3 linked regions of the Drosophila melanogaster genome follow. The protein of the gene in region 3 interacts with the protein of the main gene of each other region in a pairwise test. Each region holds a gene or a part of one and is shown on either strand. Other genes may lie near its edges.

What was found.
Region 1: the proteins of CG13476 (region 3) and Fer3HCH interact in a two-hybrid assay, tested with the Drosophila melanogaster proteins (one large-scale study listed by BioGRID).
Region 2: the proteins of CG13476 (region 3) and mRpS30 interact in a two-hybrid assay, tested with the Drosophila melanogaster proteins (one large-scale study listed by BioGRID).

Annotation. Positions count from the first base shown.
Region 1 is NC_004354.4:13,106,573-13,110,284, forward strand, and holds Fer3HCH (ferritin 3 heavy chain homologue), read right to left. Parts: upstream 1,623-3,712; 5' UTR 1,525-1,622; coding exon 1,390-1,524; intron 1,328-1,389; coding exon 902-1,327; 3' UTR 810-901; downstream 1-809.
Region 2 is NC_004354.4:15,783,946-15,789,097, reverse strand, and holds mRpS30 (mitochondrial ribosomal protein S30), read right to left. Parts: upstream 3,052-5,152; 5' UTR 2,927-3,051; coding exon 2,469-2,926; intron 2,305-2,468; coding exon 1,089-2,304; 3' UTR 810-1,088; downstream 1-809. Other genes in the region: Paf-AHalpha (Platelet-activating factor acetylhydrolase alpha), read left to right, coding at 4,038-4,433, 4,502-4,783.
Region 3 is NT_037436.4:14,703,516-14,706,657, forward strand, and holds CG13476 (uncharacterized protein), read left to right. Parts: upstream 1-1,948; 5' UTR 1,949-2,028; coding exon 2,029-2,478; 3' UTR 2,479-2,642; downstream 2,643-3,142.

The DNA.
Region 1 (3,712 bases), on a different chromosome or scaffold from region 3:
CTGTATGTATGTACAGTCTGCCTTCGTATAAATGCCTCCGAACCTCAGACTTTAGACCGGAAATGCGACGCGCTTTTCAATTAAAGCCCCGCCAAGATCTTACCATTCAGTTCAGCATTCAGTTCTGAATGAACGATCCCTACGATCTGGATGAGTTTGTTGGTCAATGTGGGAATGCCCCCACAAACTTCCAGAGGGGTTCATGATTTCGGAAATTAGATCAGGGAAAATTTAATTTGATTTAGAACGAAGTTTCGCAATTCTGTACTTATTTCATATTATATTCTATGTAACTAAATGAATGAGTTACTATATTTGTCGTGTCTTGCCGACTTTCACGATCTCAATCTATATAGATATAGATAACCTATTAATACGTCACAAATGCTTATCATATAGACCAACTGCTTCATCATCAAGTTCCAAGTGTTTTATTATATAATGGGTAGAACAAGCGTAGTTAAATGTCAGGCTTCTTTTAACTTTTATCTTTATAGATTCGAGATTATCAACTGTTATCATATATATAACAGAAATATTGTGTCATTTGATTAGAAACGTATTTACAGAACTGGATAAAGCAGATGAGTTACTATCCAATACCATCAACACTGTGGTCCAACTAAAGGGTTATCAGATGGGTTTAGCTGTTGATTTCGTGAAGCTTTGTTTTTGGACTCAGTTTCGGTGTCGATTTCAATTAGAATCTTGCGCAACTCTTGGAGCCGATAAGCGAGTATATTTATAGAGTTAGTTTTACGCCAGCCACTTGATAATGTGGCAGCAAAAAAAAAAAAAAAAAAACAATTGATCGGCCAAAAAACGAATCTTTACTGAACACACATGGGTTTGCCAATTATAATACGTATTCTTCATCGGATGGTTGTCCATTTTGAGGTATTCATTTCGCAGGATGCATGCCGCTGCCCATATACTTGTCGAACAGGAATTCGCCCACCTGGTTTTGTGCCTTCTCCAATTGGCTAATATAGTCGGCCAGAATCTTCTGGCCATCCACTTGCTCCTGCAGGAAATTGGCCTCGATGAAATCGCAGAGATTCGGATCCGCTTCCTTGCCAGCCAGGGCGTGCAAATCGAGCAGATGCTTATTGACCTCCAGTTCCATTTTCATTGCGTGCTTTAGTGCATCCAAGGTGCTGGCGAAACAGGGCAACGGCTGTGGTACACTGCTCAAAATGATTAGACCACCACGCTTGTTCATGTACGTCATGATCTTCTCCGCGTGCTCCCGCTCCTCGACGCTCGCCTTTAGGAAGAATCGATGCATTCCGGGTGAACTGATATCGGAGCGATCGAAATGGTAGGCCTACGTGTATTGAACGTACTATATGCATATATATATATTCCCTATTGACTGCGGAACCTTACCATGGCCAGATACTGGTGGGATGCCTTCAACTCCATGTTGATCTGATCGTTTAGCTTCTTCTCGCAACTTTTGGCGAAGTTCTGACGCACCAGCATGCACATGTGGCGCCGAATGTCGCGGAAGCACCACGCCATGTCTTTTGCTTCTTTTTGAGTTTTTTTCTATCTTTTTTTTTTTTTTTTGTTTTTGAAAATTTAGAAACCTATACAATTTGGAATTGAAAGTCAAAACACAAACAGTGTGTCTAAAAGGCAACTGGGTCGGTTCGGACAGGTGTCGATGGATCGGATACGATCCATCTAAGTTCGTCCATTGATCTCATCTCCAAATATCCAGATCTTCACATCTCCGCATCGATCTCCGATCTCGCGATCTGGAGGAGGTGTTGATCCACCGTTCGGACGGCCAAAAAACAACGGGTTGGAGTTCAAAGTGCTGCCGGCTCTGATTTCACTTAACTTCCACTTAGCAATAGTGTGTACACAATCTCTCACTCGGTTTGTTCGCATCTATATACGTTCGTACGTATAGCTTATAGATACAGATACATATGTATATATGTACATATATAGTTAAATATCTGTGTCCAGATATGTTTGCTTTAACTTCAACAAGTACACACGAACACGGACACACTAAGTAAACGCAGTTATTGTCTTTTATTAAGTGAATGGAAGACGACTTTTGTCCGAGTTTTGTATAATCGTGTTATACCCTTTCTCATAGGGTATTTGAACGCTTTTCCCAAAATATTGCTGATACAGAAAATTGCGACAGCCAATGCAAGTTAAAATAAGAAATTTAATTTATTAAAGGATAGAAAACATAATATTATATTTTGTATTTCAAATGAAATGCTTTCGTAGGCGAGTTCAACGCGTCTTACAGGTTTAGGGTATTGAAAATGTAAAGATCTCCCAAGCCGAGGTTTCCAAACATTTCCTATAAACATCCAGGTGGTCAAAACTACTCGCACTTTACTACAAACATCCACTCATTACGCACATTTAAAAAACCAACAAAGCAATGGTGACTCTTGAAGCCATGTGCGCCCCATAAAAAGGCAATAATAAAGATATAAATGGTTCATTTTCACCGACACACAGGAAAACGAACCGAGAAAAAAAACACATAGGAGTTATGCAAATCATCGTTGAACTGGACAATAACAACCCAAATAAAAAATAGCAAACATTTTTAGATGAGTCTTTACGTTTTTTTTTTTCAAGCATTATGAAACAATTTTCCCTATGATTGTGATTAAATAATATATACACTTATTAAGTGAACGATGACATATGATCTTGTGTGTTTATAGAGGCAATTAACATGTTTAGTTCATTATGCAACAGTCGCAATAAAAATGAAAATTATTATCTTATTCAATATTTAAGGGTCAAATGGAAAGGCTTTTGAACACAGAAAAATTTCTAGAATTTTGTAGAAGATTTTACAGGCATTAAAGTTCTATAATTACTTAAGCATATTGAATTTCAACAAAATCCACATCGGAACTCAGTTAAATTTCAAATTCCACTCCCGTAATGCCAACAAGATTTTAATTTGGACAAGTGTGACAGCTTCAGCGACACATTTACATCACCTCCAAAATAATGGCAACAATCCAGTTTGCAGTGTCATAAAAACGTGCAACAAATTATTAACATTAAATTAAGCTGCGGAGTCACAAAAAAATTTTTATATACATTCGACGTGTTAACACAAAACTCAAACGTCAGCATATGAGGTAAAAAAAAAAAAACAAAATCCAACATAATTTGCTGAACATGAGGTCGAAAATAGCGTACGGCATACGAAAATATTTAATCGATTTGAGCTATTGTCGGCATGATACTCTTTCAAAGAGCATACAAACTTGTTCCAAAAATTAAACTATATATTAAAAAAATATTCAATTGTATGTATATAATTAAGTGTTATAAATGTGTACCATCTTAATTTTGGTATAAATATAAGCTGCTAAAATATCTATTACATCTTAAGGGGTATTCCCGTCTCGACTATTTCAGAATATCACGTATTTCTTTGCGCACATTGTTCAATTCAATAAATTGTGGCTTCGATCGCCGTCGCCAACATACGAATAATTTACAATACATACGAACGGTGTATCAGTTAACATTCATTTACTTTTGCTGCTGGTCATAATTTCCAATGCGTTTATTTATTTAAATTTTAATTTACAAGCACCCGATCGTCTGGAATTTACAGTCAGTCGCAGTGCATGCAAAACTGTGAAATACGATCGTTAAACGGGGAAATGAGTGCGGGAAAATTTGAGAACTTTCCACAAGGCATAAG
Region 2 (5,152 bases), on a different chromosome or scaffold from region 3:
CACGATCAATATTCAAGATTTTTCAGCACTTGCCCAACGGAATTTCGACTCAATATCAGTTGGGTTCGACTTGTCTGCACTACACTTTCCACTATTACCAAAAAAAAAAGAAATATATATGCAACAGGTTACTGCTCTACCTTTTTGGACAACCGAAGCGCCAGATACGAGTTTCCGAACCACCGTAAAGTCTCAAACTGGTTATTTACTCGAGCCTAACTATTCAGATCCAGTGTGACCGTCGCACGGCCGTTATAACATACCATACGGTTAGCTGGGACGTTACCGAAATAACCAACAAGTGGTAACTTTTTCAGCAATCCTAACTTTGATGTAGTGGACTATAAAGCTATTATCGTAAATGTAAAACTACTATAATAAATGGGATAATAAAATAATCAAGTAATTAATTAATGCATACATATTACCAGACTAAGTAAGAGTTTGAAGTGTACTTATATGGAATATCATATAAACCTTAGTGCACTATTATGTTCAAACAATATATGATTTGGTAAAAAGATTTAAACTACACTATAGCATTATAAACCTTTTTTACGTTCGAAAAATATGGTTCTGGTGCAGTGTAACCGCATTTTACCCACTTTTTGAGATAACTTCGGTATGTTTGCAGTGCTGATAAATGAAATAAACAATGGAATCTAGAATAAATATGTGCTGCATAAACAATTAAATAATGATAAGAAGCATTGCATTGGCAAGTTTTAGCATCATCAGCACTAATAATTGGCAAAATTCCAGGTATTTGTATAATCATATCTATTTGAAAGAATTTAAGATAAAAAAGACTAGCTTATAAATTTACAGAAGTGTTTAACCACAAGCATAACAAAGTTAATAAATATATATACTTTGTATGGCATAGAATTTAAATTGAAATTTAACAAAATATTTATATTAAAAATCATTAACATACTGACAAAAGTTTGCGGAAAATTGAGTTAATCAAAGTTTAAAGAAACTTTGTACACCGTTTCGTTGCTCCGAATCTGCAATCCAGTATTTCACATTAAAAATTCAGCATTTTTAACAAGTGTAACCTTAGGAAGTGTTTTATATTTATTCATTTAAGGGTAGTACGTCTTCTTGAACCTGTTCTTATTCTTAGGGACGTCTGGTCGGACCGCACGTGGAACATACTCCTTGTCATGTGTGTCCAGCGTTCGCTGCCAAGGATTGATGTCCAGCTCGAAGAAGCGTCTCTTAGCCTCCATGGCACGATTGTTGTTATCGATCTTGTATAGCTTCTCCCACAGGTAGATTTCGGGCAGCTCCAAGTGTCGCGGTCGGTTTGATGCCAAATATTTGAAGGTCTTATTGATAAAGTCACGCTGTTCGGCGTTCTCATAGGCGGAAACGTCGGAGGCAACATACGGCTGCTGCTCCCCAATGCTCCGCTGAATCGATGGCGCATTGGCATAGAAATTGAGCAGGTGCCGCAGTGCGTTATCGTTGAAATCAACGCACTTGCCGCTTGCCGAAATCTCGGCGTACAGTGGAAGTGGCTTTGTACCGCGACAGAAGTTGACACGGGGATTTTCCGCCACGTTTGTGCCGTGCAGCAGCAGCGTATTAAGCTGATACTCATAAAAGCTCCATTCCCTGCCGTTCGTGATCACAGTTTGAGTGTTCATGGGATAGGTCAGTTCGTTGTAGGTGTTGAAGCCATTGTAGTTCGCCTGGGCCAAAAGCCAGGCGTATGACGATTTAATCGCCAGCGAATGCAATGCCTCCAGCTGATCCTGCTCGCCGAACGATTTCGGACGGATCTGCAGGTGTGCACGCGATTGAAATGAGAGCAGGCCGAAGTTATTCTCATTTCCTTTGGGCCAATAGCCTGGCACATTGGTGGCGTGCTGATGCTTGGTGCTGTAGCCGAGGGTTCGCGGGTCGTGCTTGAAACGGGGCAGCTGTTTGCTCAGCTCGAGGTTTTCGCTTTCCGCTTCCGTTTTCCACGGCGTCAATTGCTTGCGATGGCGTAGGGCAAGATACGGCGCTCCCGTATACTGAACCATCCGATCAACGCTCTCGTTTGCCATATCCTTTTGCCATTCCCGGCCCTTCTTCGATTTCTGCACGTTCTTGGGAGGATCTACGCCGCCAACGGCCCAGAACGCTTCGTGGCGTGGATTGTAGTCGACATCGAGCTCATCCAGGTGCTTGTACTCCTCGCTGAGCGACTGCAGCAGAGCTCTGTTCAGCTGTTCTACAATGATCTGCGTTAGGATGCGCTCACGTTCAACGGGGTTCGATTCGGCAGAGTTGTGTTGCTTTTCCAGATGCCTACGCTTGGTAATGGAGGAGAATGAATACATTAATATCAGACGGTCGAACTTGTAACTGGGACCACTCCAACCAATCCGAGTTCTTAAGTGAGTTGGACCAACTACTGTCCACAAACTCGCCGGAGAACTTGGTTCGTTGAAAGCGGACCTCGTTGTACCCACTTGTAGTAGTCGTGGGCAAACTCGAGGGCATCAATAACATCCCCGCGAGCCGCCTTGAAAAGACCATCCACGCTCGGCTGCTCCTGCTCCTGCTCGGAGTCCTTAGCCTGTGCCTTCTTATCCGTTTCAGATGGCAAATCCTCGAGCACTGTGCGCGTATAATGTTGCGTGAGCGGCAGTGCATTGTAGGGGATTTTCGAGTCGTTGAAGTCGACCACCTTGAAGCCGTAATAGCGGGGCATATTGATCTTGATCATCTTCTCCTCCACCGTCGGCACCTGCCGGATTTCCTCGTGCCAGTTGGCCGCATCCTTCTGCTTGCGCGCCTTGAAGGACAGATCCTGAATCTCCGGATATGCCGGCTCTGCGTCCGTACTATTCAGCTGCAGCTGCGACTGGCCGGACAAACAGCGCTTGTACGTCGTTCGCAGATGGCGAACACGGTTAAGCTTCAACATGCCGTCGAACCTAACGCAAGTTACGATTTATGTTTTCGAAGGAATAGAATTGACTTCAGTTTTTTGACAATAACTAGGTTATGTCATTGCTGCAGTGTGACCGCACGCTGGATTCAGAATAGGTTGCGCCAAGGTAGCGACGGAAAGTTTTGCGATGCCAGTGAAAGTAATGGTATAATTTCTATTTATGCAGTTCAATAATAATTCATAATGAATCATAGTCCTTTACTATTTAACGTGTAGGGGTACAAAATTTAACTTGCTTATGTTTCAAATCTTTTTATTTCTGAAATCAGTTATAAATCATCGTAATATTTTTTAAGCTGTCTAGAAAAAGCTAAAAAATAGTCTTGTTTCATTTGGTATATTTTCCCCTTGAAATAATGGCATATGGCTTAAAGGCACATGCCTTAAAAATCACAATTGTAAACTTAAATCAACAGAGATCAAAATAATTAACAGACTTCTCTGCGATAACGCTTTTGACAATTTTGAATAAAATGCACGTTACAAACAGTAACATATGTGACCGTGTAACGTTTTCGATAACGTATCCCACATCTTTTTCAGCTGTGCCAAGTGCAACATTGCTAGACAACACTTTCCAGCCCTGGAAAAATACCAAGACATCTACCATCTCTCTAAAAACGAAAACATAAACGCTTACCAAGAAAATCGTAGATTTTCTACACCAAATTAAAATAAACTTATAAAAATTTTCAACCTTAAATCCTTGGCAATTTCCATGTACACGAGGGTGGCCACATAATTCTACGACATTTACGGATGTTAATGTTGAGGTAACCTAAAACACAAAAAAAAAAAAACAAAAAAAAAATCTTCGCCATAAAAACGATTTATTAAAGTAAACAACGGTACGGAGTTGTTTATGCTAGCGACTATCAGTTCAATTGTTTGTCCACGACTGCAACGCTGTCACTGCAAGCCGAGCAGAACGCCCAAGTATCCGGTAAGACTAAGCCGCAGACGATGCCTCATTCATCCGCATGCTGAAACTGCAACTGAATCGAAATCGAAATAGGAATAGGAATCGGAATCTTTAACTAAAACTCAATATTGGTCTGCAACTGAGTCTGAGCACGCCGACGAAATGAATCCCTGTGTGCTGCCCACCCCATTGCCCGATCTGGATGGCGACAAGCGTTGGCACAGCATACATCGCCGGTTCATCTCCGATTGCCGCGAAAAGGATCCGGATGTGATATTCCTCGGCGACTGCATCTTCGAGACCGTCCAGGACACGGAGGCCTGGAATAAGTACTTTGCGCCGCTGCACTGCCTTAACTTCAGCATTCGCGACGACTGCACCGAGCACGTACTGTGGCGCATCGAAAACGGTGCGCTGGACAATGTGAATCCCAAAATCGTCGTCCTCCATGTGGGCACCAATAATGTGCGGAACAGCGCGGAGGAAGTGGCCGAGGGTGTGCTCGCGAACGTAACGAAAATCCGGCAAAAGCTGCCCAACGCCTATATCGTTTTGCCCGTAAGTACAATAGTTGTGGTATTAGCCAGCCGCAGTAAATCATCGACATTCCCATCTCTCCCTTGCAGTCGCTACTGCCGCGTGGCCAGCAGCCCAATAAGTTGCGCGAAAAGAATGCCAAAATCAACGAGGTGGTCAATGGATTGACCAAGGGCTTGTATCGCGTCCAGACGGTGGCCATTGACAAGGGTTTGGTCCAGACCGACGGCAGTATCAGTCATCACGATATGTTCGACTATAAAAATCTAACCAATGCTGGAGCGAAAAAGATATTAGAACCACTCTACGATCTGCTTTCTCAAATTCTCAACGAAAACGAACCTGAAAACGATCTCACCCCCTCCGAATAAAAGGAATATCCAGCAGCTATCCATTATATATATACATACATGCATACATACACACATACATATACCACAAACAATTCCCAGAATATAACTTAAAACCAGAAATGTATTTTTTGAAATCTCATAAGCTATAGAGCTGCGAGACTAACTCACAATTAAGCATACATTTTTCGTATCGAATAGTAAACCATCGCATATACCATTGCATTATGATATTATTTTACATTGTATTTATAAGAAAAGAAAAAAAACCGAAATGACTGTCATTGGGTAAAATAGAAGTTATCTTCAAGCATCAGACATTCATGGATTTTCGCTAGCATTCGTTTTTTTTTACGTTTTCCGTTTGATCACCCACAAATTAACTTTTGT
Region 3 (3,142 bases):
ACCAATATCTAGAAGATCTGTCATCTTTCTATTGACCCAAATCACCCTACTCTCTCTGACCTATAACATCTGGTTTATCGAATTTTTCCGTCAATTATGTTGGTTTCTGTGAAAAAGGTTGCCATGATTGAATTACCATAGGATTTCAACAAAATATGTGTCGCAGTATGAAGACCTTGCCGAAACTTGATAAGCAAGCACAGGCAGAGAAATAAATAGTCCCTTTTCTTTTCAAGCCGCAATAAATCACCTGCCAACCGCACATCAATTTTAGAAAGCTCCAAATGGGGATGCAAAATAATCAAAAGCGCAGAACCTTAGTTAACTGCTATATTTCAGCCAATCAATCAAACTGGTTTCAATTATTTTTTCATACATATTCAGGTTTATAGTGTTTATATGTAAGGTGTTTGTAGGTTCTTTATTGAGGCAAATATATATAAAAGAAAAAAAATAAATAAATAAGGTACATTTTGAACTTCACTATAAACAAAAGTCAACACGTCCTTAGTCTCTTAAATATGAATTCGACTTTAAAATCGAATAGTATTTGCAATCCACATCAGAAATAAAGTTCTCTTAATTCAGACTAACAAAAAAGATTGATGTTCTTATATATGCATTCACATAAGTTCGACATGGAAGAAAAAATAATCGGAAAATTGCCAAAGCTTCTTCCTTTTCAAAAAGTGTTCTGCATTTGTGTGGGTATAAACGTGTCCTTGTGAGTGTCTGCACTCATGCATAGAAATAAGCCGATAAAACCCTGACAATTGTGTCATGGAGTAGCGTTTTAGTTTTGGGATTGGACTTAATGCCTCTTGACTTCAATTTGCATAGTCGGCTTAGCAACGTTCGTGCAATGATTGAATGACAAATTGATAGAATTCGGCATTTACCAGTTGACAGCTAAGGAAGAGCTTTTTCCGGTCGGAGGAAACGGAAGAAAAGTTAAACCGATGATGGAGATTTCAGTTCAAATTCTGTTTGAGCATGATTTAATTATCGTGCCGGTTAAAAAGGACTTTTCATTTGCCTACAACAATGTTCACAACGAGTTGCGCCTTTTTAATTATAAAAATCAAAATTCATGAAAAGCTCTTAGAATATAGAGATATGATCTTTTAGTGTTTAAATCTCTTGAATGCGAGTATAACATAATATATATATAAATAGGCTTTTCATCATCACATATAGATGATTTAATCCTTCTTCTCCAACAAAATTTTAAGCCATTCCCAACAAAGTTGTTAAATTGTTAACAAAGCGAACATTTTCACTCAAAAAACGCCCCTATCGCATTGACTCTGACCTAGACCGCAAGCCGTTTAGATCCCGCAGGACTTCCCATTAATCCAATTAGGGCTGAACATATTTGCTTCTCATTAAAAATGAAATCCTTTGCTTTGGACCGGAATCAAGAGCTTTGACCAATTACCAAGCGTTTTTTCATTTACGTTCGCACATTCGAAATAAAAAATTAACCAGGAAGGTCGCAGATAAAGGCATTGACAGAGCAGCTTAGAAATCTCTTTGTCAGCAACTTAAATGAAAATTAAGACATCTGCTTTCATTTAGCTTAAGTGCTTATCTTGCGAAGGACGCAAAGGCAAAGGACACGTTTGCCCACAGGACAATCAATTATGAATGCAACACCGAGCACCATCAGCTTGGCAAAATAGTCTGTAATAAAAGTTAGGTTCATGAGGAGTGCGATGCTTTTGGGCGGCTAATGATGATAATTATATGTTTTAAGTGACATTGATTTGTCGCCTTCAGGATGGGCCGGGAAATTCCCATGATGTTTAATTCATTAGCCAGCTAATCGGCTTACTCTGATAATTAATATAATTGATGTCAGTCATCTTATTGTAGCGCCACCCAAGCAGGCTACTCATTCCCAGTTGCCTCTGTGTCATTTCTATGGATCTAAAATAGGTTTCCCAGTACTATTGACGCCCTGAAAGTAATCAGATATTCACACATAAAATAAATTCAAATAAAATCTGTATATTTTGTACGCTCACAATGAACATGAGGGGAATGGCCAAGCGTTCTATTTGGCTGCAATGTCTTCGGGAAAATGCCACCAATATGCGCCTGGAGCACGAGGATCTGGGACGTCGCATTGCTGTTTCTTTGGCCAGTTCCCAGAAAGCTCTAGTTGATATCGAAAACTTGAATCAAGAGCTGTTAAAAATGAAGGACACAATCCATAATGCCATTTCCAATGTTATGGGCTACGAAAAGAAGTGTTGTGAATTGCTCCTGGAAATTTTGATTAAAATAGTTGAGAACAACGACCTGGATGCCGAACTAAATCCCAAAATGATCTCCAAGGCGTTTCTCGACTTGGATCCGAGTTCCGACGAGACAGAAGTTCTGAATGACCGTAGTCTTGCAGCGTCTGATTTTAATCAGCAATATCCAAAAGATGTGCCGGATTCTATTGATATAAACATAACAGAAGACCAGTAACCATTTTAAATAGGATCCAAGACCGCACCAATTCGATTACTAACGTCTTAATTTAATGCGTTGTCAATTCCACCTCACACATTTAAAAGGAATAATAAGGTGGTCAGGGCTACAAATGTTTTATATTTTTTATCGATTCAATTAAATTTGCATGGTGAAATGACAAAACCCATTGTCTCTTTCTTCAGTTTATAGTTGTGGGAAAGTTTCTAAGACGTTCGAAATGTTAAAACCCTTGAAACGAAAAAACTTAGGATGACCATAAAAATACAAAATTATGAACAGAAAGAAAAGAGAAAAGCACGCCAACATCCGCACAAATTGTCCTGCAGAAAAGTCAAGACAAAATCACGTATACGCACTGTGACAACCCACAGCCTGGGTTAAAGACAATCCCAACTGGTAATCCAAGTCGTGTGCGTAGCCAGCATCCATGTTCCTAAACAATTTGTCGGCGATTTGTCGGCAAACTTGAGCCATATACGCCACACATACGCACCGAGTGAGCCATATTGCACATACGCCCCGTGTGACCCACAGAGGAATACAAAGAGTAACGAGGTTAAGTGACCCAACCAGCAAAACAACCTGTTGACTCAGGCTCTCTGCTCTCTCACTCAAAGCAAACTCACTCATCGGTGGGTTTGTTTTGCTCCGCTCTTTC